Linked DNA regions of Diceros bicornis minor. The protein of the gene in region 1 interacts with the protein of each later gene in a biochemical or structural test. Links are inferred from orthologs where the notes say so. Each region holds a gene or a part of one and is shown on either strand. Other genes may lie near its edges.

Region 1 (16,402 bases):
TATTTTCCTTTTCAGGATGTCCAGAGCAGAATCACATTCGAATGCCCCATGTATGATCATGCTCTGCACGACTTACCAGCAATATACATGCCGGTATTCGCTTTAGCAAATGCATACCTACTATGTGCCCCTTTCAAAGAGTGGGGACCTGATGGGTTTGAATGAGAAATGCCATTGTTCACAAGTTTTGTCAGATGTGCAAGTCTGGCTCTTAGGACATTTCACATGAGGTCTCACCATAGTCCTATGTATATAGCACTTTATATGGGGCTTCAAGGGGCTTTAATGCAGAACGGGAGAATCTAACCAATCCAGACTGGGGACTTTATAGGCCAGACCTGCTGTACCTTTCGGTTTGCCTCCATTGGTTGTACTAAAGATCAACTTTAAGTAACAATGATTTACTCCAGTTCCAGGCCGTGGTAACCTGTGAAAAATCTTTGGCCAACTACGCGTAGAGTCAGCATTAAACTTTAGTCCCCCTCCCTGGCATTCCGGTGCTTCTGTTCTTAATTTTACACTCAAAAGCTGTATTGTCAGTTTCAGTCTTGACAATCTCAAGCCTCACCGTCCGTGTACATGGGCTCTGCCAGCACAGCTTTTATGAGACAACCTTCTCAACTTCAGCCAGGAGTGAAGACCACGGGGACAATTTCCAAAGTAAATGATTTGTGTCTTAGGAGGATTTTTGAGGTTAAGAAGAGATCTTTGAAATGGTTTTGGTAAATCAGCTCATCCCTTCAGACTTCTAGGTGATTGATCACCCATCACCTAGCAACCACCCTAATACCACCCACCTTCCATCTGATCTGGTGAAGCAAAAGCCCTCTGCAGCACTTCCACTCTGATCTCGGAGCGCCCACCAGCTGAGTGTTGTCTCCACTCTTTTTAACCGATGATCAGGCTCGGGGGGGACCCCGTTCTGTCTCCTGCCTTGTGCTCTTTCCCCTGGGACAGCTTTCTAGATTCTGCAATCTCAGAGCAAAAAGGATCCTTGGTATAATCACTTAATCACTGAGCCCAACTCTTTCTCTCTTTTTTTTTTAAAACTTTTTATTTATTTACTTTTTCCCCCAAAGCCCCAGTAGATAGTTGTATGTCATAGCTGCACATCCTTCTAGTTGCTGTATGTGGGACTCGGCCTCAGCATGGCCGGAGAAGTGGTACGTCGGTGCACACCCGGGATCCGAACCCGGGCCGCCAGCAGCGGAGCGCGTGCACTTAACCACTAAACCACGGGGCCGGCCCCCAACTCTTTCTCTTAAAGATAAAGACATTCAGATGCAAAGAAATAAACTGACGTGTACGAAGTCAAACATCTAGTCACAGGACAACAGTTCAGATCTCCCAATGGCCAGGAAGGAATATTCTGTCAGCAAAATAAAGATGAAAACAACATGAGCTCTGAAATCACCTACAGTTGTGACCTCTCAGAGTCCAGGGTTCATGTATGGTAAGAGTTAAATGAGAGCTTCCCCTCAGTAAATGCTCCCTACAGGAGAACCAGATCAGAGGCTGCACAGTGGCAGCTGGAATTTGGCCTGCAGACATGGTCGGTTTGGCCTGCAAGTGCTGGCTTTAAATCTGAATTTGGCCAATGTTAAAAAAAAAAGTAAGAAAAAATTGAGATATTTAACATTTTAAAAATCAAGATTTATGACTTTTCTTGAAAAAATCCAAAGGTCTGGCATGGCCACATCCACATTCCCTCCCGCCCCTGCCAGTCAGCCAGAGCTGAGCAGAAGCTGCCCTCTTGGAGGCAGCACGCAGTCTCTAGCTCCCAGCCGTCTCCACGGCTCCACGAGGGCTCCTGAAGCCCAAGGCCACGTGTCAGAGGCCTCGCTCCCTGCACACCTGGCCCCGCTGGTGTTCAGAGTCGTCTGCCCTGGACAAGATGAGTGCACACTGAGGAGCTTTTAACTTTCAACTGGGTTATCTGACTTGACTTTTTTTTATTAAGGAACAGAAACAGCTCTGTCACAATCCCACTGCGGGGAAGAGTTGTCTGACTGAGGCTTTCCAGTTCAGTAATTATTTGGAGATATGCTACTAGAAACTTGTAGAGAAGACAAAGAAAGAACGGAAAGAAAATGTATTGTAGTGTAAGTGGGCTGGAGTGGGTCAGCATTTCCCACCGTTGCGGAAAGAAGTACTTGGCAGATGTTAAAATACACTGGTTGGTGGGGCCACATGTGTCAACCTTCCCTTCTCCTCTACACCCATGCTCCACTGAGGTGGTGGGTTTGAGATATGGGGACAGGATGTCAAACTCCTCAGGCATGCAACAAGCTGCAAAATGGACTAAAAATACCACAAGTGGAAGACAGCCACGCTCTGATAGAGACCTTTTTTTTTTAAAAGGAGACCTAGGCTAATAGTGCATGCAGTGCCTTCTGTCAGAGGAGCTGGCAGCACTCTTGCCTTTAGTGAAGGGGCCCCACACCTGTGTAAGGAAGCTATTTGGCAACACGGCCACTTTGTGGCCAAGTGAATCATGAGCAGTTCAGAGCTGTGATGAAATCCTCCCAAATATTAGGTTTGTAGGCTATTTCCCCCCAATCTTCCCACTCCAAATGCCCTAAAAATTCCCACCAATGAACTTTATAGTGAACATATATGTTGTCTCATTGGGATTTTCCCATCAGAGGCCCATCTGGTGACTTCATCAGTCAGATGGTTCTGTCACTGGTGTCAACCTTCAGTTATGATTTGGAGCCTTGGAGTATGAGCTCAGACTCAAAATCCCCACATAGTAGTACAAAGGTGTGATGTGTACCTTTGGGGTGCAGGTCATGGACCGGCCATTGTGTGACCCTTACAAGTCACTCAACACTTAACCTCTCCACAGGCATTTGTTTCCTAACCTGCAAAGAAGAAAGGCAATCTAATAACAGATGACCCACACGAAGTGGCTGGCCCACAGAGAGCATCCCATAAGCATTCCACAGAGCTGCCCTACTTTTCATGGAATGCTAGAAGCTACAGGTTCTTGGAGGTCGAGCAGTCCGACTCCCTCATTTACAGATGAGGAAGTCCAGGCCCCCAGAGGTGGTCCCCCAGGCAAGCAATGGAGACCTGGGCACTGGTACTCTACCCAACACTGGTTTTCTCACGTAAGCCAGCCCATGAGACAGATCTGAGGGCAGGGAGGGGCAGTGACAGGGCAGTCCCTGTGATCTCCAGGAGCAAGTGCAGGCCAAAGGGCCAGCTACACAGACCTACTTTGTTGAAGCTGACATAGGCCTTAGTATGCTCTCATCCTCCCCAACTAACATACCTTGGTTGCTTGCTGGGCCTCTGAATACATCCAAGTTTGATTTATCCAAACTAATTGGCTGAGCTGCCCTCTCCACAGTTTGGATTACTGGCCAATCAAAGTCGGGACATGCATATTTCAGCTTTATAACTCGCACACACATGCATACACACAAAAGGACCCCACGATCACTTTCTTGGTTCCTGGTCTGCAGGGGAATGGTTGATCTGTTTAATTTCAGCTTGCAAAATGACAGCTTCGCCCAACTGCACCCTTACAGAATAGGGTCTTGGGCAATCACCGATATGTACAGAAACACTGGGTACCCCTGACTCCCAAGAGAACTATTCTTCAAGAGAGACGTCACTAGCATGTTACACGTTAGGAAAGAACATACGCTACAATAGGAACCAGAATCCAGATCCTGAAGGTGAAACTTCACACTGCACATAGCATATTATAACTGCTTCCTTCCCTCTCTCGGGAGCAACAGAATGCTCTTACGAGATGGCTTTTTAAAAATAAGTCATGGAATACTGACTGATATCGAATGCTCATTTGTGAACTGTAATTCATCTAAAGCCATTTCTTCTCTGGGCCACTGAAGGTTTGGGGGGAAGTGAAGGGCTGAGAAGATGGCTCCCCAGAAATCCTGTGGGGCATCTCCCCATCCCCCAACTCCCACAATATATCTCAAACACCAAATATCCACTCTTATGTCCACTATCACCAATCTTCTCTTGATCAACAGGCTGCCACCTTCTTCATGACCCTAAGAAAATTATGGAAATATTTGTCTAAATTTTACGAGAAACAACTCCTGGGCTGGGTGAATTAGTAAGCATTAGATGAGGACTGGTTGAAGGCAGAGTCATTGATTAAGGCTGACTGAAACCCAGAGCCCAAACACAGAGTCAAACCCTTATTTGAATATGCTATTTTAAAACTGATGGGTGGCAGGGCACAGACCAAATTAAATCACTCATTTTACTGACTTGAGTCCCCAGCTCAATTCTCTGGTGCATTATTTTTAATTTAAAAATAAGCTCTTGCCCTATAAAAATTAGCAGCACCAAGGAGAAATGCAGGACAGCCTAAACGGCCCAAGAGGCATAGCAGCTCCTTCTACAACAAAACTCTGAAGTATTAATGACATTATTCCCATTTCTAAGTTTAGAAAACAAACTTCATGGTATAACCCTAGGTTATAAGAGGTAATCTAGACAGGTATGTCTCTGAAACTGCTCCTGAAGTTAAGTGATAGATAGAGGGAAACGATGTTATAATATGACCACACGATGCAATACTCTGCAGCCATTTAAGATACAATGAAGTAGAGCTAGGTTTCAGACATAGAAAAATAGGTGTGATAATATGAATCTAAAACAGTAAGCTGCAGAAGCCATTTTTGGAGGAGAAACTTACATCTATGCCTGTGTATATATAAACCTTCCAGACACACACTGACATCTACGATTCTATACTCAGCTGTGAGAGTATATTTACACATAGCTAGAAAAAGTCTATGAAGATACACACTAAACCTAACAATGGTAGGAAAGGAGGCAAGAGGTCTTGGTCTTTCACTTCACTTTTCTTGTCTTAGTAGTTTGCATTTTTTGCAAGAGCATCAAGAACTTTTTAAACTAAATAAAAAATAAAGTGATGGGCTTCAAGGAACTGTACAACAGCTCCTGTGTGCCCTTCCTGTTAAATTCCTGATCAACTCTTGTTTTCACCCCACTTAGTAAGAAAACACAACTCCTCAGTCCTTGGAAAGCTAGGAGAAGGAAAGGCGTGGCTTGCAGGGTTTTCTTGTTGCTGGAGAAAAACAGGCTGTAGGGCGCCCTTTTTTTAGCTACACTCCCGAGGGCCCCCACGTGTCAGGGGCGCGCAGACGGCAGGCGCGGGGGGCAGGAGGAATCCACTACCAATCCTTCCAAGCCCAGTGCTGGTAAAGGGCGCGTTTACTTGCCCATTTCCTCTTTCCTCAATACCCTGTAGAGAGTCAGCTTCCCGGTCCAAGTTGTACTTGTGCGGCCAGCCCCACCGAGCACACCCGAGTACACGTCTGCAGACGACGCGGGCACCGCGCGGGAGAGCCGCGATGTGCCCTAACCACGAGCGCGTGCCAACTAGTCTGGGGTCAGCGCCCGGGCAACTGTCAGTCCAGGGCCACTCCCAAAGTGCACAGGTGGGCATGGGGGAGGGTAGACAAAGTGTACGCATTTTTTTTTTTTTTTAACAAGAGAGATGCCACCTGCCTCTCCGCGCCCGCGAGTGGGCTGGAAGACACGGGAGTTCCGGGAGGTGACCGGGCGGAGGTGCGCCGAGGGCATCTGGCCTTACCTTGCAGGGGAACAGGACCGCCGAGGCCACCTTCTCCATAGCCAGGTTCCTGATGCTGGGCGTCAGGGCGCCCCTGCACGTCGGGCAGCAGCTCAACTTCTGGCGGCATTGGTTACACACCAGGTGCCCGGCCTGGCACTGCAGGATGGGGGGCAGGACATAGTCAAAGCAGACCGGGCACTCGAAGAGCGAGGTCAGCTCGTGGTGCTGCGGGGACACCGGGCCAGCGCCGCCGCCGCCGCCGGGGCCCGAGATCACCGCCGCCGCGGCGGGCACCGCGGACGAGCCGGGGCCCGCAGCCGAGATGGTGGCGGCGGCCGGGGGCGCAGCCGGGGACGGGGCGTGCTGGGGCTGCGGCGGCGGCGGCTTGCTGCAGGGTTTGTTAGCGCTGGGGCCGGTGGAGGACGGGCGGCTCATCGCGCTCCGAACCCACCATGGAACTGCGGGCGCCTGCCTGCCGCGGGGCCGCCGGGGTCAGGGCTGCGCGCGCCCCGCGGGCGCCGGGCTCCGGGGCCACGCCACCGCGCCCAGCCCGGGACGGCGGCCGGGACGGCGCGCAGGGCGGGGGGGCTGGCCGCGCCGCCGCTCTCGGGCCCCCGCGTGCCCGCGCCCCTCCGCGCCCGACCCCGAGCGCAGCGCAGAGCCCCGGCCCAGCCGCTTCTGGAGCGGCCGCTGACGCAAGCCCCGGGGGCGCGCGCGGACGTGACGCGGGGACACGTGTGCGGCCGCCGGGCGCGGGCACCGGCAGAGCCGCCCTGCGCTGGGCGCGGCTCCGGCGGGGGACGCGGGGACCGCCTCGCGCCGGCGCTGCCTCGGGCCCGGCCGGCCGCGCCAGTGAGCATGCCCGGTGGGCGCGGGCGCGCGGGCGGCTTTTCCGGGGCGGGGCGGGGCCGCCCCTCGCGGAGGCGTCGCCCGAGTCCCCGGCCACACCCCAGGAGCCACGCCGACGCGGCCCCGGGCGCCAACCACAAGGGCGACTTCGGGCGGGGCGGGGACTGGCACGGGGGCGGGGCGGGACGCGGGCGCCCCGACGGGTCGGAAAGAGCCCGAGGTCTCCGCCTGGGGTGAGTCACCGGCCAGCGGCTCGTGGTCTGGGACGCGGCGTCAGGACGCGGGGCTGTGGGCGGAGCGGGCACGGGACCGTGTGTCGCGCTGTTCAGGGTGGGTTCAGGCCACCCCTTGGTCCTGCTCCCCAGGGCGGGAGGGGGCAAACGCTTGATTCCTTTTTCAGCGGACCTGCCGAAGGCTTCGTTGAGTTGAGCGCCTCTGACTTGCAGAGCAGGCCCGGGAGGGAGTTCACGGACAGCGTCTGCCAAAAGGAGCGTGCGAGATCACCTAGGAATGCCAGAAACGTGGGCTGGGTCGTGAGGCCCGGGAAGACAGTGGATGACTCTCCAGCACAACGGGCTGCGTCCTCGCCTTTGAGATACCGCCGAAGTCCGAGGCTTTGATGCGAGGTGTCGGCGCTCGCCCTGCACCCTAGCGGACGCCCGAGGGGGGTGACAGCCCAGAGCGAACCACATGTTTATTTAATGTGTACTGTGTGCTGCCAGTTAAATTGCTTTTCTACATACTTTGAGCCACTGACACTGGAATTGGGGAAGGGGGTACCTAGAGGGAATCGGATGATACTTTGTAGGAGAGACGGTGGAAGGGAACAGTCGGGACTGGGTGAAGAACGGTGCCCTCCGCTTACCATCTCTGTGACTTTGGGCAACTTCGTTAATTTCTCTGCGCCTCAGTTTGCGCATCTGTAAGGGTGGGATAAAAACTACCTATTTTTATAGGTGGGTAGTGAGCATTAAATGGGTTTGATAAATGCCGAGAACCTGGCTCATCATAAGCACTGCTTAAACGTTAGCTGTTATTTTTAAGAAATATTATTAGTGAATGTTTAATATTAATGAGTATTAGTGAATAAAATCTGTCCAAGAAATATGCTCTTAGAGCCCAGAAGAAATCAAGTTTAATCTTATAAATGTTATCTGGAAAGACTACATGCATGGAATTGGTGGAATTTGATCTAAATCTTGAAAATAATTAATAGAGGTGACGTCATTCCATCAATCGGGACATGTTTCCCCAGCATTTGTTCTGCACCAGCCGCTGTTTGGGTCTGAGAATGGTTCTGCTGCAGTTTCCGTTCTCGTAAGGGAGCAGCGTCATGTCCAGACACTCACGGGAGAGGATTTCAGATGCATGGGGGGGGGGGGGGGAGGTGACGTTGTAGCAGGAGAGAAAGCACGGTGAGAGAAGGCATCCGGGTGCGCTGGGACTTGGGGGGTGGGGGGCACATGGGAGCCTCAATTGGACTGATAAGATTGTTACCTCAATGACAAGGGTTCCCCACTGTAGGTTTTTGAAAAGCGCTGTGGCATGGCTGAATCTGAGTTTTTAGAAGGGTGCTCTGGAGGAATACAAAATGCTAACTAATATTTATTGAGTGTTCACTCTGTGCCGGGTGTGGGTGGTTCTAAGCACTTTGCAACAAGCTTACAGGATGGATATTATTGTTATCATCTCCATATTGTAGTTGAGGAAACTAAGACACAGGGAGATTAATTTGCTCAAGATTACACAGCTGATAATGTTGGAAAATGCTCCGCACCCTCCTTCAACTCCTAGTCTCTATCCCTTTCAGTCAGGCCTGACCGCACCTTACAGGCTGGTTAAGGCTTCAAGATTAGTGCCCTCCACAGTCAGAACACAGTTGCACAGCCTGTAAGCAAGCACTGAATTTTGTGGACAACTTCACGTTAATTCTTTCCTTAGCTGGTCTGGAGAGGAAAATAATTAAGTCATATTCTATTTATTCCATTTTTACCTTTTTCTAGCTTTAAGAACATGATAGTGACAACAGAAAAAAATCACCCACAGTTTCACTTTTATTGGAGATAACATTTTCCACTTTTAATTTAAAACCCAAGCAAGTGGAATTAATTACCAGAATTGATTTTCTTTCCCTCCACCTCTGGCCTCTCAGTGCAGGTGCCCCTCGTGTTCCCAGGGCTTACTAGCTCTCACTGGAGAAGCCGGCCCCCACCCTTGCCCTGTTGACATGAGCGTTCAGTGTTCCCCACCAGCTGGGCCTTGGTTGTTCAAAGAGCAATTTGGTTTCAGATGTGTTGAAACAAAGACCAGGAAAAGCAATCCTCTGTGGAGAGAATTTGTTTTTTTCTAAAAATACAACTAAGCCATCCACTCTTACCTTGGCAAATGCCCCCCGTGGTGTGGAGAAATTTCTCCTGGCTTCCTCCTCCACATCATTGCACTCCTGATTAAGTCGACCGGGATAATTTAAAAAACCAACACTCCTCTGGGCAGCTGCTGAAGGTAGGTGGACAGACCTGCTGGTGACCTCTCCAGGCTGCCGGGCTGGCCTTTCCAGTCCTTCCTCCTCCCTGGGGCTTTTGCATCAGAGAAAGGCGGCTGTTTGCACCTTGGGCACGTCAGCCGGAGCATCTCTGTCAGGGGCATGGGTGCAGAGTTGTGCGAGGTTTATTTGCCCTTGGGAGTGGCTGCTGTGGCTGGGCTTGTGTTTAATGGGTGACTTTGTTGCCTGGGGAGGGGGGCGGGGTCCAGCCTGTGTTTCTCCTGATTCGTGACTCATTTACCGCATCTGCTGCATGACAGGTGGGCCTCCTCCCCCCACCCACAGATGGCACAAGAAGGACACGTGCAAAGCAGGACTCCTCTCCTTAACCCATCTCCCCCTCTGTACTACCCTTTGAAGACTTAGTGGGGTGGATTGAGTAACCTTTCTTTCCTTAAAATGTCAGGGTGAGTCTTGTCACACAGCCCACAGGTGAGCCCCTCCTCTCACCTGAACTGCTGAGCATGATGCAGAACGTCCCAGCCAGGCAGACACGCTCTCGCCCTTTCTGTAACTTGCAGATTGTGTGGTTTTGCACGTTGGGCAACTTCTGCAATCAGGCGAGTGGTGTGCATTTTCAGAGCAGAGTGTGGTCAGCTTTTTCTCTTTAGATTTGGACATGACTCAGGAGCGCACTGAAGCTTGCTGCGTGGAAATTCTGATATGGGGAAAGCTTGTGGGAAATTTAGAAGCGACTGTGGGGGCCCCTGGTAATTATGGTAGGAACTTTTACCTTTACCACGTACTTTCGTTTCAGGGGTGATTTCCACATGCTCAAACTTCCTTTGAATAACTATGGGTCATGTAAGCAAGTGTTTCTTGAATAATCACCATGGAGATAGGACTGTATCGCACGGAATAGGTATATACATTTGTGTTATTTTTGTATCTGCACTTAGCGACTATTTCTCTAGTGCTCCCTCTGTGCCAGGTACTCTTCTAAGCACTTTACATATTTTAATTCTTTTAGTCCTCACAATGTCTCTTATAAGGTAAATCTTTACAGATGACAAAACTGAGGGACAGGCCAAGTTAGCTGTAGTAAGTAGCCTCTAAGATGGCTGCGAGGATCCCTGCCCCCAGTCTCTGCTCCCTGTGTGACAGCTGGACTGACTCCCTTAAATGAACTGAATACAGCCACAGAGATAGAATGTCACTTTCCAGATCAGGTTACAATAAGACTAAGACTAGCTCTCTCTCTGCCTGTCCCTCTCTCAGCCCTCAGAGGGTGAAGCTGGCTGCCTCACTGTGAGCAGCCCTGTGAAAAGGCCCACATGGCAGGGAACTGATGTCTCTGGCCAACATCCAGCCAAGACCCCAGGCCTGGCTGACAGTTTGATTGCCCTTGTGAGACCCTGAGCCAGAGGACCCAGCTGTGGTGACACACAGAAACTGTGAGATAATACATGTTTGCTGTTTTAAGCCCCTAAGTTTGGGGGTAATTTGTTACACAGCAATATTTAACTAATACACTTGTCCAAGATCAAAAGCTTGTATGTAAAAAGAAATGCAAAGTATAGACCCTCTACTTTTTCTCTTAAATTATTTTTATTATAATGCTACTTTATAGAAACAATCTAGGAAAAAAATTTTATGATTATTGTATGTAGCTATAAAAACAAAAGAAATTGGAATACCAAAAAATCCAGAATTCATGTTTTTATTTCTTATTTTGATACTAATTCATAATTTTAAAATGATAATTTCATGTGATGGAAGATGTGCTAAAATGAAACCATCATTTATTTTGGAAACAACCTCAATGTCTATCAACAGGAAAATGAAGTATGTAAAGGCCTCCTACAAAATACTCTGCAACTTGGAAAAGGTCTCGAAGACAAACTGCTATATGGAAAAAGCAAGATGCAATGCAGAAACCCCCAAACAATCCCATTTTTGTAAAAAGAACCACGCAAAACAAAACTCCTATTTCTTTACGTGCTAAAGAGGGCATAGAAAGGTCTGGAAGGAGACAGTGAACTGATGACAGTGCTGGTTTCCGGGGGGAGTATGACTGGATGTGGGGAGCTTTTGCTTTGTATTTTCTATATTTCTATAGTTCGTTTTCCCTTTTGTCTTCTTTTTCTTTTTCTGCAATGAGAATTTATTCATGTGTTTCTGTGTAAATTAAAAAAAAAAAGTGTTGTCCTTGGCTTTCTGGGGTTATTTTAGTGTGGGATTTATTTAGCTGTAGGGTTGGTGCCAAATGAATGACACATGGAGGATCAGCCAGCCAGCCAGCAGAGGTGGTCCTGGCACTACCATGAAGAGACCAAGAGCTTCTGTCAGGTCTTTGGGCCTGGGAGGTGACTTACTGAAATCGGTATTTTAATAAGAGGAACTCAAAGGCGGTGTGTAGGTAGAGCCTGGAGAGAAGGAAAGAGACAGGCCGGGGTGGGGGGTGCCTGGCGCAGCAGGAGGGCTTCCTGGGAGGAGTGGAAATTCAGTCCTGGGGCAGAAGTGAGTGGGCTGTGAGCCCGGCAGTTGTGGCCATTGGTCACTGACCAAGTACAAAGATTTATGCGGTCAGTACGTCACGTCTGGAGGTCACGGGTCAAATCAAACCCAGGCTTGACTTGTTGGGGAGTTAGTAGCCCAGAGGGGGAATAATGTTAACGAGAGCTCGCTCTTACACAGTGCTTACTACCTGTCAGACACCCTTTTAAGCACATCTAATCCTTACAAGAGGCATGTACTATTGTCCGATTTTATAGGTGAAGAAAGGAAGAATCTTGGAGGTTTAATCCCTTGTCCCAGGTCACAGATGATACTGGCAGAACCCGGATTTGGATCCAGGCAGTTTTAGCTCTGGTGTCTGTGCTCTTAACCACTCGGCTGTCCTGCCAGAAATCCTTTTGAAAATCTAATACCGTGTGATAAATGCCATAATAGAGTTGGGAAGAGAGTGCTTCCTGGACAAGTAAGAGGAAGATGTTAAGAAAACGAGACATTCTTTGAGTTGGGTCTTGAAGCAAGAGTAGGAGTGTGCCAAGCAAAGCGGGGTAAGGAATGCACTGGGGGGGAGGGGCAGGGGCAGTACACAGGAAGTGGGGGCAGTGCACACAGGGGAGGGGTAGTGCACACGAGGGGGAGGGGCAGTGTACACGATGGGGGAGGGGCAGTACACAGGAAGGCACGGGGCTCTTACAGCTGTTATCTACCCAGGAGTCCTGTCTTCTTGACCTTGTGCACTCCCAAATCAGACCCCTGCTCTCCTCCCTCTGAACTAGCTGCTGAGGTAGAGCTGCCTGCCAGGCCTCTCTCCCAGGACTGTTTATTCTTAGATCTCTCCCTGAGCGGGACAAACAACCTTTAGTCCTCAGCGCAAAGTGAGGAAAGGCAGAAGGGGGGTCCTGAGTACTCTCCTCATTGCCCTCTCCCCGCCCCGAGTCCCTAGGCCTCATCTAGGATCCCCCAGATCTTCATCTATGTAGGGCCCAACACAGAATGTGGATCACTGAGAACCAGCAAAGTTGATGTCACCTGAGGCCTCAAATAATACATTCCTCCTCTTCAACATCAATTTTGTCAGGTTAAAAATCCAATAACAGGCTGTCATTGAATCTGAGAAGAGAGATGATAATAAAAAGGAGACTCTGACTCCATAATGGAAAGCAGGTGATCTTTAAAATTGGCTTCTCCAGCTGTCTGTGCTACAGAAATTCAGAACAGGTGGAAAAGCCTGTGCTTGTACCTTTCTCCCCAGTTCCCGCCACTTCCCCGCAGACCTGCTCCTCCCCTTCCGCTTCCTTGGACTTGGTGAGTGGTCCTATTATGCGCCTGTTTGCCTGGCTGGGAATCAGGAAGCCATCCTCCCTTCTCCCTCCCACTGGCTTGACCTAGTTCTGTCCCTGCAGTGTCTCACACCCTGCCCCTCCATGCCATCCCTGCTGCCCTGCCTCAGTCACCTGGGGACTCTGCCACCCTGTCCCCAGCCTCCCTCCTCCAGCACCTCTTCTGCCACCTCTAAAGTACAAAATAAGTAACTCTGGCAAGCGAACTGCTGGATACGGTATAATGAGTACATGTAAACCGTTTACCTTATTGTTGCATTTACCAAGTGTAAAAGTAAGCGCTTCCTCTGTGCCCTGCTGTTTGGCCACAAGCCCAGCTGGGCAAGCAGTATGGGATAGGCTGCAGAGAGACCGAAGAAAAGACCTGGAGAGGGTGAATGAGACGTGTAGGTTTATTGGGAGTTACTTACAGGGAGGGCAGTGGTGGCTGGCTGGACAGAAGTGTGCACCTGACCCCGCCCCCTGAGAGAAGCTTGCTTAAGTAGGCAGAGGAACAAAGACTGTGTGCTTGCCAAGGGGGATGGTCCCTGTATGACCTGCATTCCAAGGACCAGAGCCCCCCCAGAGGACCTCTGTGTTCCCTCAGACCCTGTAGGTCTTTGTGCTAGGTATCCCAGAGAAGGAGCTGGGTTGGCCGAGGCCAGGACAGTTATCATCATGAGGGCTGGTGTGTAGCCCAGACAAAGGGCTTCCAGGACACATGGCTGCCGTTAAAGGGCCCCTATACCTGCCTTGGGTTAGGTCTCTCTAGGCCCTTTTGCTTGCGGAAGATGGAACTTATTTCAGACTAATCCAGGGGGCCTCACGTGGAGAACAGGGGGCAGCAGTGCTAACAGACCTTGACATTGGAATCAGGAACCAGAAAGCCTCCAGGAAGAGGCGACTTGTGCTCTCCAATTCTTCCTCATAGTCTATTTTCCTTCCTCTCTCTGCAAACTGGCTCTCACTGCATCCCAGAGCCCAGGATCAAATGTAGTCAGCCACACATCTCAAGTTTATGGTCCTCTCTATTCCAGCTCCCTCCCTGAGGGATGGGGCTCTGCCAGATCTCAGCTTCAAGCCCAGGTCTCAGGAGAGAGAATCTGATTGGCCCAGCTTAGGTCAGCTGATCGTTCTCAGTCTAATCAGCTAAAGCCAAGCCAGCTGGCTCCCTCAGTGCAAACATGGCTGCTGGTTGCCCACCGTTGTTGGACGTGGAAAGGATTCTGAGAAGGGGAGTTTGGGGCTGCCCTGATGCTCCAAAACTTGTCTATTATGTGTTGTAAGGAAAGACATGACCTCTGGCTTCTCAGCTCTTAAGCCCCATTGGGAAAATTGAGTGGTGAGTTGAGGTTACTTCAAACAAAAGTGAAATCTTTGATTTTACAGAAAAAACTTGGAATTTACGATGGAAGTGTTGATCTTGTCTTTAAGGAAGGGTAAGGCTTTGAGTTTTGGAGAGAATGGTTACTTCAAATAAGGATAGAAGGATCATCAGTTCCCAGCAGGAATGAGTGAGGGCAGTAAAGACTGTCATTCTCAGGGTAGGTTCAATTTTGAGTGATGGGAGTTGAGATTAGGTGGGTAGAGTGGGAACATTCATCGGAGGGATTTAAACACCAAATGAGCTTAGCTTTGCCTCATTAAGGACAAGGAGTTGGGATGGTTAAATGGAAACTGAGTGTGTTCTGGAATCAGACACACCTGGATCTGAGTCTGCCTCTCTGTGTAATTTATGTGACTTGGGTAGGCTTCCTAAGTGCAGAATCTCAATATCCTCATCTAGAAAATAGGAATGCTCGTACTGGCCTGTAGTGGGCATCTGTTGTTGCATCTGCCCAGCATCCGTCCCCACTCCTGATAAATGCTCCTTGGTGTCACTGTGAGGGACCACTCTGTGTGGTTTGGATAGGATTGGTCCCACCTGCCAGCTGGGGGATGGACACATGGCCCTGGCCAGGGCTACCCATACAGCACCTTCCTCGGACACTTTACTTCCATCTGCTGGAAATTGTTGTAATTCGTATACAGAGCTATGATATCTGGTATGAGTGGTGCCTCCTTACATGTGGTGCTTTGTGTACTGCATAACCTGCCCAACTGTAGAAAGCTGCTCTGACCTTGGCCAACTAAATGCAGTCTACCCCCTGGTGACAGATCAGGAAAGGGAAGTGACCCAAGCCAGGCCAATGGGAGATGTTGTACCACATAAAAGAGTCTGTCTCAAAGTAATGCCAACACAGCAGAGAAAAGAACTGGGAAATAGAGAGAGGCGTAAATGCATTATGTGAGCTACTTGATGCAGCTGTGCCTGAAGCTATAGAGTTATCTCTGGAATTTGTCAGTTACATCATTGAATAATTGTTAAGAGAGACAGTCCTCCATGGGTCCCTCTCACTCCTGTACATCTTGCTGGGTATGCTAAGAACCGACCTGACCACTTTTGACTGGGCCATTTCTCATAGTTGTTTGCAGCAAACACTCTTGAAAGGTGAGGTGAGGTCTGCCGCCAGGACAGAGAGCAGGCTTCCTTATTGCTTGCTGGAAAAGTGATGGATTTCCCAAGCTCAGTGTTCCTCAGCTGTGATGCAAACCCACTGTGTGCAGAGCATCCATCTGAGCCATGTTGTGTCTGCTGAAGGGCTCAATCAGGGACCAAGGAAACGTGCTGACGCACGTGCTGATCGTTGTGCCCTGAGTAGTCAAGTTCTTTGTCTCTGGTCCAGGAGTCTTGTGTCTTCTGCCAGCATCCATGAAATAGTGACAGGTTAACTTATTAGCTTGTAAGTAGAGTAAAATTACTACCAGACCTGACAATAATCCTCTCTACATTTTTGTTTCTTAAACCAGAATTGAGATTCTGTCACTTGCAACAAAAAACTTCTAACAAATTGTTTTCCTTATCAATTGAGATAATGTATGTGAAAACTTCTAATCTGTATGGGGGTCCCAAGTAAGTGTGGCCCTATAATAGACTGTTTTATTAAACAACTTTATTGAGGTTTAATTGGCATAGAATAAACCACACATATTTAAAGTGTACAATTTGATAAGTTTTGACCTATGTATGTACCAGTGAAACTTTACCACAACTAAGATAATAAACCTAAAGATAGATTATTTTTCCTTTTATTACACTTATTTTTAACATTTTATTTTGTAAATATTAAACCATACACAATAATAGAGAAAACAGCATAGTAAACTCCCGGTACCCATCACCCATCATATCAACATTCTGCCATTTTTTTTAATTTAATTTTTTTTTGGTGAGGAAGATTGTCCCTGAGCTAACATCTGTACCAATCTTTCCTCTATTTTGTATGTGGGATGCCGCCACAGCATGGCTTGATGACTGGTGTGTAGGTCTGCACCCGGCATCCAAACCCACACACCCCAGGCCGCTGAAGCAGAGCATGTGAACTTAACCACTACACCACTAGGCCAGCCCCAACATTCTGCCATTTTTGTTTCATTTACCTTCTTCCTCCATTTCTTATTTTGCTGGAATATTTTAAAGCAAATTCCAGATATGATATTATTTTACACATAAATACTTCAGTGTATGTCTTTGACACATAAGGACTTTTTTCTTTAATATAACCACAATAACATCATCCAACAAAATTAACAATAATTTTTTAATATCAT
Region 2 (16,296 bases), on another chromosome or scaffold:
AGAATTATATTTAAAATTCCCAAATAAAATGCTGATGCAGCTGAATTAACCTACCACCCCCATCTCCCAGTCTACCTGACTTACAGAGCAACCCCAGCCAGGGAAGCCCCTCTCTTTAAAGCACCTTTGCTCAGGCCCAAGACCCACTCCTGTCCCTTCTTGAGACTTCGTCTCTCCAAACATAAAAATGACTTCATTGCTGAATGATTGAGGGACTGATAGACGTGATTTCTGATACCTCTCCAGCTCTAAAAACCTGTATTATTAAAGTCCTGTATAATTTGGGTAACTTCATTTTTAAGTAAATAGAGAAACTGGAGAAAATCCAAAGAAGAAGAGAAACAAAAATGACTGATCAGTGTAAAATCAGACTGTTTAACCAGAAAAAGAGAAAGCAATGTCGGTGACAACTGTTTCATACCACTCAACTTTCAGCTTGCTTTCTTTTTAAAGTGAAGTATAACTAATATACAATACTATGTTAGTTTCAGGTGCACATCATACTGATTCGATATTTATATACATTACAAAATGATCACCACGCTAAGACTAGTTACCATCTGTTGCCATACAAAGTTATGACAGTGTTATTGACTATATTCCCTATGCTCTACATTACATCCCCATGACTTATTTATTTTATAACTGGAAGTTTGTACCTCTTAATCCCTTTATTCTTTAGATGGTTTTATCATCACATTCCATCTCCTTTCCCCCATTCACGTACAGGTCAGCGAGGTGGAAGACATTTAATGACTTGTGAATGAATAAATTAAATTGATATTTCCTGATTTCCCACTTCACTGCAAGGAGATAAGGTTGTCCTATAGTGGCCAATGGCCCAAAATTGAACAAAAGAAATTATAAACACACACACACACACACACCCCCCACCTTCTTTTCTTTGTTCCCAAGCATCATTCAACAAAATAGACAAAGAACACTGTGAAAAGTTACCGAATGGAGAAACTTGCTTCACTGTCACCGAGGCTGCATTCTGTAAATTATTTCCTTGGATTAATTTCCTTCCTCCAAGAGCTAAGTTATTTTTAAATACAAAACCTTTTATAGGAATAAACCTCACATCCGTACAGAAAGATGTTCCAGTGCTTCAAACTCAGTGCCACCTCCCCCTAAAATACCTCATTCACAGACAGATTTTGAAGATTTGAATTGCGGAGACACCGTTTATGGTGTCTAGTCCTCAAACTCTTAGAACCCCGGGCTCTAGAACTGCACCTCTCACAGGCCCCGGCAACGACATTTGTGACATGATTCTACATGCCCCACTCCCACTCTCAACCAAGACTGATCGATCCCCTGAGCCAAGGTGAGACCATCATACTTTCTCCCCGGGAGTGAAAACAGGGATTCTAGAATGTTAATCAAGACTCTGTGAATCTCAAACTGAGGCTGAAGCAGCCACTGTGGGGGCAGCCACCTTGAGCCACGTGCATGGAAAACAGCAAAAGCTGGAGGGAAAGCAGAGAAGCACAGGCAAAGAAGCAGAGGGAGGCCAGAAGGGGCCAGAGGCAGAACTAACACGCCAGGGGTCCTGGATGGGAAGGACTTTCTGGTTCCCAGTTCATTGCTCCAGCCTTCTGCGAACCCAGATTGCATATCCTGCACGTGGGTCTGAGGGAGATCCTGATCTTCCAAATACATTATTCCACTTTTGCTTGAAGTAGTTTGCAACCACGATAAGGTCCACTGAGTAATGGATATTCCCGACATCACATGACCAGGGTGGGCTGAACCTGTTATTGCTAAACGGCAAAGGAACAAACTCTCCGCTTCGCAACACATTTTCTTTTCTTCATAACTTACCGCTGTTTCATCATGTCTCTGTATTGTTTCCAGGGGAGGACTCACCTGTCTGTTCACAATACAGCCCCTACCACCCCATTGTCCAGAACCACTCCAGTCAGGGATCCTAACAACCAACCTTGTTAACAAATACTTTTCCTGCAAATAACAGTAGCAAAACATTAGCACAGCACTCCGTTTTCTTCCTCAAATGTACTTATCTGACCCGCTTCAATGTTTGGGTTTTGTCCTTTTCTTTGTTAAGCCTCGGAATTAATCGAGTGTGAACTAGAGGATCTTACAATTCAAAAGTACGTGTGTATGCGAGCTCCGTGAGGCAGGGGTCATGCCTGCTCACCTTTGTGTCCCCAGCCCCTGCACAGCGCCCTGCACTGAGTGAACACTTGCTGAATACATGCACGGATGAGAAGCAGGAGCATAACAGTCAAGAACACAAACTCTGGAGTCGGGCAGAACTCGGTTCCATCCCAAATCACCCACTTACAGCCTCATAACATTTACGAAGGCTCAGAATTCTGCTAAGAATTTTGTGTACATCATCTTATTTAATGCTCCTTCACCTAAAAAGCTTGAAGGTATTATTATCCCTCATTTTACACTTGGTGAAACTGAGCAACTGACCTAAGGCCAGAAGGTTGGTAACCCCAAACCCCTAAACCCCTATAAACTGCCTCTTACACCCACTTTGTGACCTTGGGCAAATGATTTCATCACTCAGTTTGCTGAAGATTGTGGTTCTGAAGACTAAGTCAGACAGACAGTGTTTGCAAAGTGCTTAGCACAGTTCCAGACAGAGCAAACCGCTTATGAAAAGGTAGCTAGTATTATTGGAGTTACAATACTGGCTAGTCTACAGTGCTATGCTTCAAGCAGAAGGACTTTTGGTTCTGTAAATTACACGTTCTCTGGAAAACAGCCATTTTCCCGATCTAGGCAGCCACAGCAAAAGGAGCAAATTATAACCAATATTTATCTTGGATACGGTCTAAATTCTCCAAAAGGGAGTTAACAGATAAGAAATCTTTTAATAGTCTGAAAGCAGTGATCATGCTTGCAGTTAGGGGGCGCCATACTGCTGTACATTATAGGAAACTACTTCCCCAGAGGGGCTTCCGCACCCTCGGACTTTTCTCCAACAAAGTGGAGGTAGATAAACTCTGACCAGTAACAACTTTTTTGGCAGCAAGGGGGAACACTTTAATATTGCTTTCCATAAGCTTCCACAATTTCAATTTTAGATCTAGTGTGTATTCCTATTTTATTCCCAATGCCTTTGCTTCTTTGAGATAAAGTGCATGATTACATTATTCAATGACATTTAAAAGTCTAGGAAAAAAAATATTCAATTAGGATCAATACATTAATAAGCATAACCCCGAGAAATTTAAAGTACCTTAAAACAACTGGTCTAAAATAAATGTGCATGAAAATGGGTGATGGAAGTTCATTATACCAGCCCCTCTACATTTACATATGTTCGAAAGTTTCCATAATAAGAAGTTACAAATAAATTTTTTAAATAAACGTACAAATTCTGCCTTTTAAAATTAGTTTTTACTGAAAACCTGCTTGAAGGATGCAGCAGAAAACCAGGTCTATATCACTACTCTGGCAAGCAGCACAGAGCAAGGCACTCAGTTGAGGGAAGAGAAATAAATAAGAAGGTTAAATTAGGGTGAAACTAATATAAATCTGGAAAGCGTTTCTACAATGCTTTAGTAATAAACTTCATACAAGAGACCTAAGGCCACAAAACATTATTAAGGAGACTTCTCTATACAAACAAATCAAACTCTTTTTATTTTTCACTACAATAATTGTTTGCTCAAGCCTGGTTTGCATTTGGTTCTAGCTGGCCAGGGAATATCCCAATCTAGAGGTGATCTTTCTAAAGGGCAGGAATGAAGAGCTCTGTGCCAAAACTACCAAAGGAAAGCTGGAAATCTCGGTATAGGCAGATGTCTCTTCAGTGGACAAAAGATGAATTTTCTCTTTTCGATTTACAGTCACCTTCTGAAAGGGTTAACTGAAAAGTTACTTGTTTGACCCGGAAGATAATCCATAATTGAAGAATCGTATCTACAGATCATTTTTCTTCCCTCCCAGACGTACACAGTGCTTTTCATTCAATTTGTGGAGTTAAACTCTAGCCCAAAACCCTACCACTGTCTATTAAGTCAAAGCTCAATAAAAATACTTAACTTTCAAATACTAGTGACCTCTTTCTACCAATTCACTCTGACTTCCCTCAGAGCAAATTCTGTTCCTAGAATGCTGGCGGGGGGTGGGGGGGATGTGGAATTCCTACCACTTGTTTAAAAGAAACTTTAAAAAACTGATAAGAAGCCATCTGCTCTTCCGGGTTGGAAGCTCTGAGCACCTCTGCAACACTGAGGCTAGTCATTCCCCTCCCCCGCCCCGCCTCAAGACAGGCAAGGTCATTTAATGCAAAATAAAACTAATTGAGACAAAAGGCTTTCTTATCCACCACCAAAATGATGGAAGAAGAGTAAAGAAACACTTTAACGTCAATCTTTTACAGAGTCCAGCTAACTCTGAATTTTCCCCAAATCAAAGTAAAATTTAGAAAGCAGCATTTTCTTTTCACATTTGCTTGCTTTGCGTCTGATTAATAGCGATGCTTTCAGATATTCTATTCATGTCCTCCTGGCTTGAAAGGTGTGCAGCAATCTATTTCTCCCCTACTCCACTCACCCACTCCCTTCATCTCTACACATTTCCAGTCTTCACCAATTGCACTTAATAAAGAGCGTTCCTCTCAGCTTATGAGACAACAATGGTATGTTTTATCCCAGGATCAATCTTAAATTGAGAAATACCACAAATATTGTTAAAGAAGGGTACATAGGTGACTGCTCACTTTCCTTCTCATGCTAGTATGTTTTGCCTCACTGTGTTAAAGTGAAAGTTTCTACAGTTCTGAGTGCCCCCGTGACCAGTCCGCAAATCACTCAGAATTGCCGCTGGAAAACTGGCTGGATTATCATTTGTAGAAAGACACCGATTAGCTCGACTATGCCAAAGTAATGTACACGCACCAACATCACGGTACTACGTGTTCCCATATTTCTGCCAATCTACCTGGAAACGTTTCCAAGATAAATTACCACCCAGGGAGTCACTTCTGGCGATGAGAACAAAAACACAGTTTCTTTCCCGAGGTGCTTGACCACCCTCTCCTGATCACTCACCTGGCTGTTTTGAGTGGATTTTCCCATCAACGGATAGTTAGGAAAGCGAAGTTGGTGGTGTAGGGCTCAGTACCAGCAGAGAATTTTCACAGTCAAGTAAATGATCTAATAGTGTCCCGGGTGCAACAAGCCAAGGGCAGCTCTCAAAAGTGAAGAGGAGCTTGACTCTTTCACAGGTCAAACTCCTCTGCACCTGCCAAACTTCACAAACCAAATGCCACTTTGCAAAATCACACTGTCTCCAGAATTCTTTAAGAGTGCTTTTGTGGGCATCTGCTCTGAACACAATGAAAGGGCAATATTAGGTGACTTAAGTAGACATTTAAGATCATGAGTGCACGTGTGTCTCAGATTATACACAGTGTTTCTAATACCCTGTTTGTCGTTTGGACCTTTGAGAACCTCCATGTCTTAGAATCAGATCAAAAAGTCGCCGCTTGTCCGGCTTGTACCACCCACCAGAGCCATTATTTCAAAGTTAACAGAAAAGGTCATTATAATTATACACCTGAGACCCTTAGCATGGATTTTCGCTCAGAGGAGAATGGGAAAGGGGAGAATCAGACTGACTTCTTGCTTCTTGGTTAAAAACTACAGTTCGCTTTCAGCCCTGCGAAGGCGACAGACCACCGACACCGAATGTCCCTGGTCCCCGCGGGCTGCAGCAGCAGCGGGGCGCCCGTGCGCGTCTTACCTTGGACCTTTCCTTGACGTAGTATTTGCCCAGCCGGCTCCCGCAGTACAGGACCAGCCTGTCGATGAGGGACAGGAGGAAGCTGATGGCCTCGCAGCCCTCCTCGTTGCCCCCGATCCACGTGATCTGGTCGCCCCGCAGGTGCCGCTTGGAGACGCCGGCGCGCGGCCCGGCCAGCTGGCCGTCCCTCAGGGCCCCGCTGCAGTGCAGCTGCTTGACGCGCTCCAGGACGCAGTCGCCCACCACCTCGCCCAGGAAGTTGTCCAGGTAGCAGAAGCCGACCTCGTGCAGACAGGGCACGATGTACTCCAGGGCGATTTTCTCCAGATCCAGCCTCATGATGTGTCCCAGGGGCATCTCGCCCGCAGAGCCGAGCGCGCCAGTCCCCCAGCGTGCACCCAGAGAAAGAGCGACCTACGCGCGCGCGCAGCCGAGGCGCGGGGACCGTGGCCCGGGTTCAGCTACCTGCGGCGGCTACGGTCCCCGAGCCACCGCAGCGACAGGGAGAGAGGAAAGTTGCTCGCAACTCTGGGGAGGAGGGATCCCGTTCAGGGACCAGAGGAGTTGCGCGGGGCTCCACGACCCGGCGCCGGAATGGCCCAGCGAGGAGTCGGAGGGCCCCTTTTGGAGATGCGGAGCCACCACTAGCGCGGCGGCGGCCCGAGTCGGGGAGAGGCTGAGGTCCAGCCCCGGAGCCGGCCGACTGGGCGCGTCACCGGCCCCGCCCAGGCTCCGCCCCGGGCCCGCCCCAGGGACAGCCCTGCCCCCGGCCCGTCAGCCCCGCCGGGTCTAGCGCTCCGCGCGGAGCCCCGCGAGGCCGGCGCCTGCCTCGCCTGTTTGTGACGAGGGGAGGGGCTGGAGAACAGACGGAATTTTTAGAATGCTATCGATTTGCATATGTTTTGCATAAAATCCCTTAACAAACTTGAAAACCTGGATCCCAACTCTAAAAATGTAAATAGAATTAACAGCATAGTTTACTGCCACATTCTGGGCTGGTCACAAAATAATAAACCCGGGAACAAACATATATATTAAACAGAGATCTCCTAGCTTTATCGGGTGCCTTTCCTTACTCCCTTTCCTCTGCTGTTTGACCCAGGTCAGGAGGTTCAAGCCACTGAGAGATTGAGAGGAACCCACTTTTAACCAAAATTAACAAACATTCTCTAAGCCCCACTACGTGGAGTGCAAGGCCCCATGTCCTCCGCGGGGGGCGGGGGTGGGGGGGGTAATGTGCACAATGAAGAAAGGCTGGGTATTTTACCTGATGGAACCCTGAAAACACTGTGTTTTGCTTTCCAGGACGTTTTCATCCGCTTATCTTTCGAGTTTCTTACTAAAATACGATGTTCTAAAAGTGTGCCTTCAAAATTAATCCCATGCTCCTGTAACAGCCAGTATAGGTGTGTCCCCCAAAAGGTAGACTCTATTTTAGGTCTCTCATCTCCCTTTTCCCACAAGAAGCTGCACTTACCTGGGAGGGATGGATACCACCTAGGAGACTTTTTAGTTATCCAAAGATAAGCTGACTGCTTTATGATTTTTTTATTCCCTTTCCTATGGAACACCTGAGATCAGAATCAGGAAAAAGAGATTCACAAATTGCATGCAAAGCCATTTATATATGTTTAATTTTACATTAGTTTGCACTCAGCTTCTTCATTTAAGTTGAACAAAAGAACGGACAGGTTTTACAGGTATTGTTTATTTTGGACACAAACCCCGACAGCTCTTGCACTTTTATTCTCTTTCACACCGCCCTCTCCTCTCTGCATCTGAGGGAAGAAATAGGAAAGGAGAGATGGGGGGAAGACCTGACCAAGGGCAAAGAGTGGGATAGGAGAGGACTCTGCTGCCGCATGATAGAAAGAAGCAGACAGAGGCCCGCGGTTGCATAGGAACCTGAGGAATGTTCAGGAAGAGGGGTCAGTAAGAAACTTTGGTGCAACTTCTAGTTATAGTGAGAGGATGTTCTCTGCCAAGATGGTGATTAGTTGGCACCATTGGTATGACCTCTCTGCAGGAGGTGCACCAACTAGGGACTTGGCTAACCTCAATGAACCGTCGTCTCAATTCCCACAGCTCCTGTCCCATGATGACTGGAGCCCATCATCCTTGGACCCCCAGCGCCCAGCACCTACTAGGTCTTAATAAATAGTTGCTGGGAACCTGGTGTCTGACCCTGAGCCCCAGCAACCTCCACATGTGACCCAGGCATGTCTGGGCTCGTCCATAGGAAGAGTCGATTTGCATGAAGGGCTGGGGGAAACGCCCCAGAGAGAATTCACTGAGAAGAGGGTGTCTGGCAGATTAGCCTGGCCCGGGACAAAACGTCAAAGGCCAGTGAAGGGGGCAGCTAGGTGCCCTGCAGGGTATTTGTCTCTTGGCTTTGTCTCGGATCCAGCCGTGGTGGATGCTGAGTGCTAGGAGCAGGAGGTGAAAGCTGCTGGACTCTTCATTTGCAGCAAGGAGTGAAATGGAGATGTGATACCAAAAAGGAGGAGCTCCTTTTGGGGTTGAACTTCTGCTTGAACCCCTCATAGCCGGGAACCACTTTGGCCGCTTTAGATAACGGCCTGACCAGGAGAAGCGTGGTCTGAGGCAGCCTGAAAGTGGGCCCGGGTAGGCAGTGGCTTGGTTTTCGCGGCTTTGGGGACTGTTGTAGACCTCAGAAGGAGACATCCCTGAAGAGGGCCGGAATTAGGGGGGAAGGAGGGAAATAACAGATAAACCTGGGTAGCTGGCTGAAATGTTTCTAGCTGAAGCTTCTTTGTAGATACACCTGACACTCCTAGGAAAAATTAGGAGGGAATTTACAGAGGACCAGAAATCTACAGTAGCAGGTGAGGTGGCGGTGAGTAAAATGCAGAAAATGACATCCTCACCTCCCGGAATGAATGTGTTGACCCAGGACTTTTAAATCCAGGGCTGAGTAAACTTGGCTTACTATTCAAATAATATTTCAGTGATTTTAAAGTTCTAACTAGTCTAGAACTAGAACTAAAACAATGGTCTATAAGCAGGTTCTAGTGACTGATAGCTTAAGCTGTTCTAGATTACTTTGGTTGCAAAGTGTGGGTAGTTTAGAAGGGTATTCAGTCCCTTGCTGCCATCCCTGCTTGGCAAGAGCACCTATTCATCAATCAAGGGCCTCCAAGTCAACTTGGGGCTGCCAGCACCGCCGTTGGCAGAGGAGCCTGAGATACGGTGACTGGCAAAAGCACAGCATGTGATGACACGGAGGGGCACAGACTAGCTGGAGCCGTGCAGGGGCTCTGAGTCTCAGCATCAGAGTGGCAAAACCCCCAAGCTAATTGTTAAAGTGCATTTGTTTTAGTTATTTGTCCAGTAATTTGTGTCATTATAATAAGGAATATTAAAATACTTTTCATATTAATAACTAAAACAAATTAATTTCCCTGTAATTGAATTACAGCAACATTGTCTCCCAGCGTATATCTGCAGTACAGATGCGGTCACTTTCAAGCTTGTGACGAGACAGGGAGAAAGAAGGGTGCTGAATTTCTTTGCCTTGGAATTTGAACTGAAAGGGATCCTAGTGGTCACCTAGTCCAACGTCATTTTTCTACAGATGAGGAAACCGGGGCCCAGAGGGGCTGGACATTAGGTAGCTTTCCTAAGTAAGGAGTCTCTGATGAGTGGAAGAGGCAGCCTGGAATGCTTGTCTTCTCAACTAGAACAAAGTCCTATTCGTGTATGCATTTTTTTAATGAGGTAAAATGCACAAAACATAAAACGAACCCTTTTAAAGTGAACAATTCAGTGGCATTTAGTACATTCACAATGTTGTGCGACCACGGCCACTCTCTAGTCTCAAAACGTTTTTGCCACTCCAAAAGAAAACCCTGCGCCCATTAAGCAGTTACTCCCCAATTCCCCAGCCCCCTTAACCACCAATCTGCTTTCAGTCTCTGTGGATTTACCTATTCTGGATATTCCCTATAAGTGGAATCATAGGCTATGTGAGCTTTTCACTTAGTATAACGTTTCCAGGTTCATCTATGTTGTACCATGTATCAGTACTTTGTTCTTTTGTATGGCTGAATAATATTCCGTTGTAGGGATGTACTACATTTATCCATTCATAAGCTGATGGACATTTGGGTTGTTTCCACATTTAGGTTATTGTGAATAGTGCTGTTCTGAGCAGGTGCGTGTAAGTAGTTGAGTACCTGCTTTCAATTATTTTGGGTGTATACCTAGGAGTAGAATTGCTGGGTTGTATGGTAACTCTATGTTTAACTTTTTGAGGAGCCGCCAAACTGTTTTCCACAACAGCTGCACCGTTTTACATTCCCACCAATAATATGGGAGGGTCCCATCACATCCTTGTTTTATTTCTGATGAAAACTGTCTACATTTCTTCTGATTCTTCAACATCCCGCCATGCCCAAGGTTCCCTCCCTGCTAGCTGGCACCTGAATATTCTTTTTTGTGTTTTTGCCATGCTATATCATCAAGAGGTTTATCATTACATTGAATGACTTTAATATGGGCAAGGGCTATCTTATCTATTGATTTATCAAACACTTTTGTAACACCATATTCCAGGCATTGTGCTAAAAGTGTTACAAACCTTACTTCTATCAATTCTTATAACACTGCTAAGAAATAGGCACTATTATTATTCCCCATTGTGAAGATGACAAAAATGAGGTACGGAGAGGCTGCGGAACTCATCCAAGGTCACACAGTTAGAGAGTACAACAATGCTGGACAAAATCTGAGAGATTCCAGTGTAGTAAGATCAGGGGAAAAAAGTCATTTTGAGCCACTTGCTTGGCATGGCAATGTTTTTGCCCTTAAGTACTCTTTTTTTGTTATAAGTTTTAATTACAACACTCTCACCTGCAATGACAATTTTAATTATTGGTTTCCTTACTGATACTTGGTGCAAGAGGGAGATGAGCAAACTTAGCATCAATTATTTAGTTGACTATATTAAGAGTAATCTTCCAAACTACAAATTAGAATTTGCTCCTTGCTCCATTCCAATTATGGCCCAGTGTTCCCAGGAATCCCACATAAATCCAGTGAAGGACAGCCTGTTGAGAGTAGTTGTTGGTAACAAGCCACACCTCAGTCCACTGGGTTTTGTGGCTCACCCCTCAAGACAAAGGAAGTGCATTTAATTTAAATAGAGCTGGTGAAACAGGAGAATACTGAAGGGAATTCATGCCTGAGCTCACGGCTATGAATTGGGTTTAGAGAAAGATGCATCTGATTATGTCCCATTCCCTGCGGAGTCCAGCATTCCTACTCCTTTCCAGGGATAAGGGGATGAAGAGAAAGCGACATTTTATATCAGTTCTTAATTATTTCTAAGCATATGCGCAAGTTTAAGCCTCTCTCATGTGCTCTTTGATAATTCTGGCCGTGTACAGATTCTAGGGAGTGTGACATATCAGGGATCTTCATTAATATTTTCCAATTCAACTCTTGTTAAAGCTGAAAATGTCTAAAAAGTATTTTCTCTGGCTAAAAACATGACATCGAGCATAAAAATATAGCAGTGTCAAATTTATGTTAATATGGAGGGTTTTGGGTTTTTTTTTTTTTTTTCAATTTAAATCTGGTCCCTCAAGATGGGAGCTAATCGGGACTGCACAGAATCTTCTGGGAAAGTCTTGATAAGCAAACTTGTTTGGTAAATGGGCTATTTGCTCAGGTGAATGAACTCTTATCTTTAATAAATTTACCTGGAGGATTTCCTAAAACAATTGGTGGGATTACTAATATAGAGTATTTTAAAGAATCTTTTATGCTTAATTTTATAAAGCTGTTTCCAAAGGTGTTTCCATTCATTAGAATTTCACATCTTAACGTATTAAAAATAACCGTTTTATTTTGGAACAGTTTTAGAGTTACAAGAAAGTTGTGAAGATTTATACAGAGTTCCCGTATGCCCCACACTCAATGTCCCCTGTTGGCATCTGATATTAGTATGGTACATTTGTCACGATTTATGAACTAATATTGATATGTTTTATCATTAACTAAAGTCCTTACTGTGTTCAGATTTCCTTTGTTTTTACCTAATGTCCTTTTTCTTTTCCAAGATCCTGTTGAAACTGTACAGTGGTTGAAATTACTTCACAATGTTTTCAGGAAAGTGTATACCAAATCAATCTTTTCAGTCCTTTAGCTCCTACAGAAACTTCCAGAGATTTCCCAGGGTAGGAAGGAGTGGACACCTTCTTCCCATCCTAACGGCCCATTGAGGTGGCTGAGGCTTGGTGGCACCATTGGGAGGCTCTCTCTGTACAGCCTGGGGTCTCTGGGGTTCAGGTCGCAGACCTCTCCCCTTCCAGCCCGCCGCTGCGAGGGTGGGGGTGCTAATGGCTCCAGTGCCCTGGGCTTCACTGTACTAACAGGCCTCGCTCCTGTTCACATATTTACCTCCTCCCTAGCTCCAGAGAGGAGCCTGATTGGTCTAAGTCAGTGGGTCTCAAACGTTAGCATCCATCAGAACCTCCTGGCAAGCTTGGTAAAACACAACTTGCTGGGCCCCACCCCCAGAGTTTCCAACTCAGTGGTTCCCAGGAGCTGCTTCTGCTGGTTAAGGGTCACATTTTGAGATCTGCTTTTCTAAGCCAATCAGTTCATGGTGTTACCCTGGTGCCGATGAGTCTAGGGATAGGCGGGTGACCTAAACCAGCCTAATTCACCCTGGCTGTACATTAGAATCACTTGGGAGCTTCTAAAAACTGTCTCCAGCTGGGCCCCACCCTAGACTAACAGATTAACATTTCTAGCGATAAGGCCTAGGTATCAGCAGTTTAAAAAATAAAACAGCAAATAATAAATAATACACCATCATCATCAAGAAATAATAAATTAATAAAATGAGAATGAAATAATAGCCATAAAATAAATAATTAATAAAGTGCTCTTGGTGATTTTAATGTGTAGCAGTATTGAAAACCACTGGTCTGCTCGAACTATAAAGAAGAATTTATATTGAAGGGAGAGATCTCTCTATTTTTCTTTCCTGCTGGACGTGGAGAAAGGAAACAGGCAGCTCTGTGGCCTCTGGCGGCCATCTAGTCACCACGAAGGGAGCCAGTCTCAGAATGAAGCCAACCCTGAGGAAGGCGGAACAGTGTTGAAAGGACTTGGGACCTTGGTGACATCATTGAGCAGCTTATCTTACTCTTCCAGGAGCCTGTCCTGCCTCTGGACTTCCAGTTATGTGAGAAAATAAATTTCCTAATTTTTAAAGCCAGTTTAAGTTACGGTTTTCAGCTACTAGTAGTCCAAAGCGTTCTAACGTAACAGCAGAGAAACGGCCGCCCTGTAGCCATAAGAAATAGCGTCTACCCTTAAAGAGCCTTGTCTCAGGGTCACCTCTTCTGCACACTCCAGGGGACCAGCTTCCTCCTCAGAAGTCTGACTCCACGGAGACCAGACAGACGGGGCAGCGGGACAGTTCTAGCTCAGTCTGTGGCTAAAGCCCCTCCCCAGGTCCAGTCTGCACATTTCCAGCTCTGAAATTGCTGAGAGCGTTCTTCTCCCCAACAAAGGAAATGAACGATAAGGAAAGATAAAGAAAAGACCTGGCATTTTACCTTATGTGTAAAATAATTAGTTTTCTCTTTCTACCTAAGCAAATAATCTTATAATAGTCAAATTGGAGGTTACAATTGTATTCTTCATAACTGTTTTCTTAAATTGCAAATTCGTTTTCAGGCGACAATTCCTTTTTTATATTTATAGTAGGAAAATGTTGGTAGAACATAAATATTCCACACTGGGAGCTAATTGTAACCAAGTAAATGTCCAGCAAATGTTTATTGCGTAAATTTAGTACAGTGGGCTATAGGACCAAATGTAGAGTAAGAGTCTTGTTTTGAGAGAGAAAGAGACAGAGACCAAGATGTTAGTAATGATTGTTTCTGGGTAACTGGGAATATGGAAGTTTTTTATGTTCTATTGTTTGTATTTTCTAATTTTTCCCCAATGGGAACATATTGCTTTTGCAAAAAGAAAGAAAAAATATATATTTCAAAGGATATGGGATTGTTTTTCCTACTTAAAACAAATCTTTAATTCTTCCATGTGCTGGTTATTGGCTTGTTGGCGCTAAGTACCATTCCAGCCATTAAGTGCACTGCTCTGTTGGAGGTGGCTGGAATCCTCTGAATTGCATTTCCCAGACTTCATTGCCAGCTGGCCCAGTTAGATGCTGCCAGTGGGAAGCACTGGTGGGAAACGGGATGAAATGAGGGAGAGACCCCCTTTTTTTTTTTAAGCTTCTGGCAGTGGCAGCGACCAGCATCTGTGGGCTCCAGTAACCTGAAGCAGTTCTAGCAACAGCACGAATGGTTGGGGCAGTGGCCAGTTCCAACAGCATCAGCAGCTTCCCACAGTGTCAGATGCCAGACACTCCTGGGCCCTGATAATATCACCACCTCCCTTTTCTTTCTCCAGCCTTAGGAGTGGTCCTGACTTCCTGCAGATGCTTATCTCTAGGTTACCACACCTTCCCCTTTCTGTTCCTCCAATCTTTCCAACACTTTTGTAACTGATTCCTTAGATTAAATTCTCTCTGTTTGAATACCCAGAATGATTTCTATTTTCCCAGCTGGGCACTGATCTATACACCTACATAGTCTCAGTTCTTACATCGAATTTCCCAGCAACTCCTCTCGATTCTTCTCCCTGTCTCCACCGCCACCACCAGGCCAGACCGCCCTCATTTCCCATGTGGATTACTGCAGCAGCCTTCTCTCAGGTCTCCCTGCTTTTACACTTGCCCCACATCAATCCATTCTCTACACAGAAGCCAGAGCAGTCATCCTTAGACGTAAATAAGATGGCATCACTCTTCTTTGTGAAACCTCTGCACTTAAAATAAAATCCATACTCATTAACGTGGCCTACGAAACTCATCATTGTGTCTTGTCTTCTTCACTCGCTGTGATCCGGTCACACCATTTTTCTTTCAGTTTTTGAAACAAACCTTGCTGTCTCCTACCTACGTGACATTGCATGTGTAGTCTCTTCACCTTCGAATACACTTTCCCCATGCTTCATAAAGGTAGCTTCTTCTCATCATTTCCTACATGTTATTTCTTCAAAAGGCCTCTCTTATCCCCCTAGCAAAAGTGGACGTTGGCTATCTCAGCTCCTTGTTTATTTCCTTCATGGTGCCTATCAAAACTTGACTCTTTTTTTTGTTTGAATCTGCTCTACACCTATCTCTCCCAGAAGTCTGAGGGCAGGGACATGTTCATGTGTATTTCCTGTGCCCAGAACAGTGCCTGACATAAATCAGATGTTCACTATACACTGAATGAATGCACTGCATATTTCACTGTTTCTGTATTCGTGCACAGAACTCAAGGAAATCTGATGTTTTTGATAAATTTTTTATTGTTGGATGTTTATGTTTCCCTAGAGAATAAGCCAAAAGTTAATTAAAATCTAAAAAGTAGAAAGAAAAAAGTAAACATTTTGGAAAAACAGACCAAATTGATAAAAGACAAAGAGCTGAAAAATCTTCCCATGAGGTAGTAGCAAAATGTTCTACCAAATTTGATTTGGTCCCAAGTCTTCGGTTGACAAATTTGATTTTACCTAAATTGAATTAAGTCCATTGCCAATCCTCCTCCTTTTTTTCTTTTTCCCCTTTTCTCCCCAAAGCCCCAGTAGATAGTTGTATGTCATAGTTGCACAGCCTTCCAGTTGCTGTCTGTGGGACGCCGCCTCAGCATGGCCAGACAAACGGTGCGTAAGTGCGTGCCCGGGATCCGAACCCCAGGCCATCAGTAGCGGAGTGCGAGCACTTAACCACTAAGCCACGGGGCCGGCCCCCCTGAGTCACTTTTAAGGCTATGTGAAGGACAAGCAGAGAATTTCAGTTAGGATTGGATCTCATTCTGGAAACACTTTTAGCTCTTGCATTCTTATATCCTTCAGTTAGGCATTCATTCATTGAGTCAGTCAGTCAGTCAACAAATACTTTCTTTCACGCCTTCCATGTACCTTTCACGCCTTCTATGTACCAGATATTGTACTAGGTGCGGGATGCAGAGGAAAACAAGACAGACAGGATTCCTGGGCTTCTGAGGCCTACATGCACAAGGAGACAGACAGTCAACAAGGAGGCACGTAAATAAGCACCATAGTTTCAGGTAGTGACTAAGTGCTGTGGGAAAATACAACAGCAGACTGTGATAGGCGGTGGAGGGGGACCATCAGGTCACTGGTCGGAGGAACTTCCCTGAGATGGCAACACTGACCTGAGGCCACGGTTACCAAAAGGAGGCAGCAGGGCCACATGGAGACTTTATAGGCCTTAACATGACAAGATTATAGTGTCCTCCCTCCTTCTCATCCCCCAGGTAATTAAAAATTTTTTAAATCCAACCAAGGCTTAAAATAAGTGCAAAGAATGTCAACAAAGTTCTGATCCCCACTCCTTACCCCCAATGACAACTACTTGAATACTTTTGGGGAAATACCTAAAATCAAACTCGTTCCAAAATATCTTCTAATTTTTAGGGCTCTTTCTCTGCCCATTCTCCAAATATCAGT

The links.
Region 2: the proteins of SIAH2 (region 1) and EGLN3 form a complex in vitro, tested with the Homo sapiens proteins (2 studies listed by BioGRID). The link is inferred for Diceros bicornis minor from reciprocal best matches to the Homo sapiens genes SIAH2 and EGLN3.

Annotation. Positions count from the first base shown.
Region 1 is NC_080741.1:4,374,947-4,391,348, reverse strand, and holds the start of SIAH2 (E3 ubiquitin-protein ligase SIAH2), read right to left. Parts: upstream 6,353-16,402; 5' UTR 6,023-6,352; coding exon 5,606-6,022; intron 1-5,605. UniProt on the Homo sapiens protein: E3 ubiquitin-protein ligase that mediates ubiquitination and subsequent proteasomal degradation of target proteins.
Region 2 is NC_080744.1:15,197,650-15,213,945, reverse strand, and holds the start of EGLN3 (prolyl hydroxylase EGLN3), read right to left. Parts: upstream 6,408-16,296; 5' UTR 6,091-6,407; coding exon 5,734-6,090; intron 1-5,733. UniProt on the Homo sapiens protein: Prolyl hydroxylase that mediates hydroxylation of proline residues in target proteins, such as PKM, TELO2, ATF4 and HIF1A. Target proteins are preferentially recognized via a LXXLAP motif.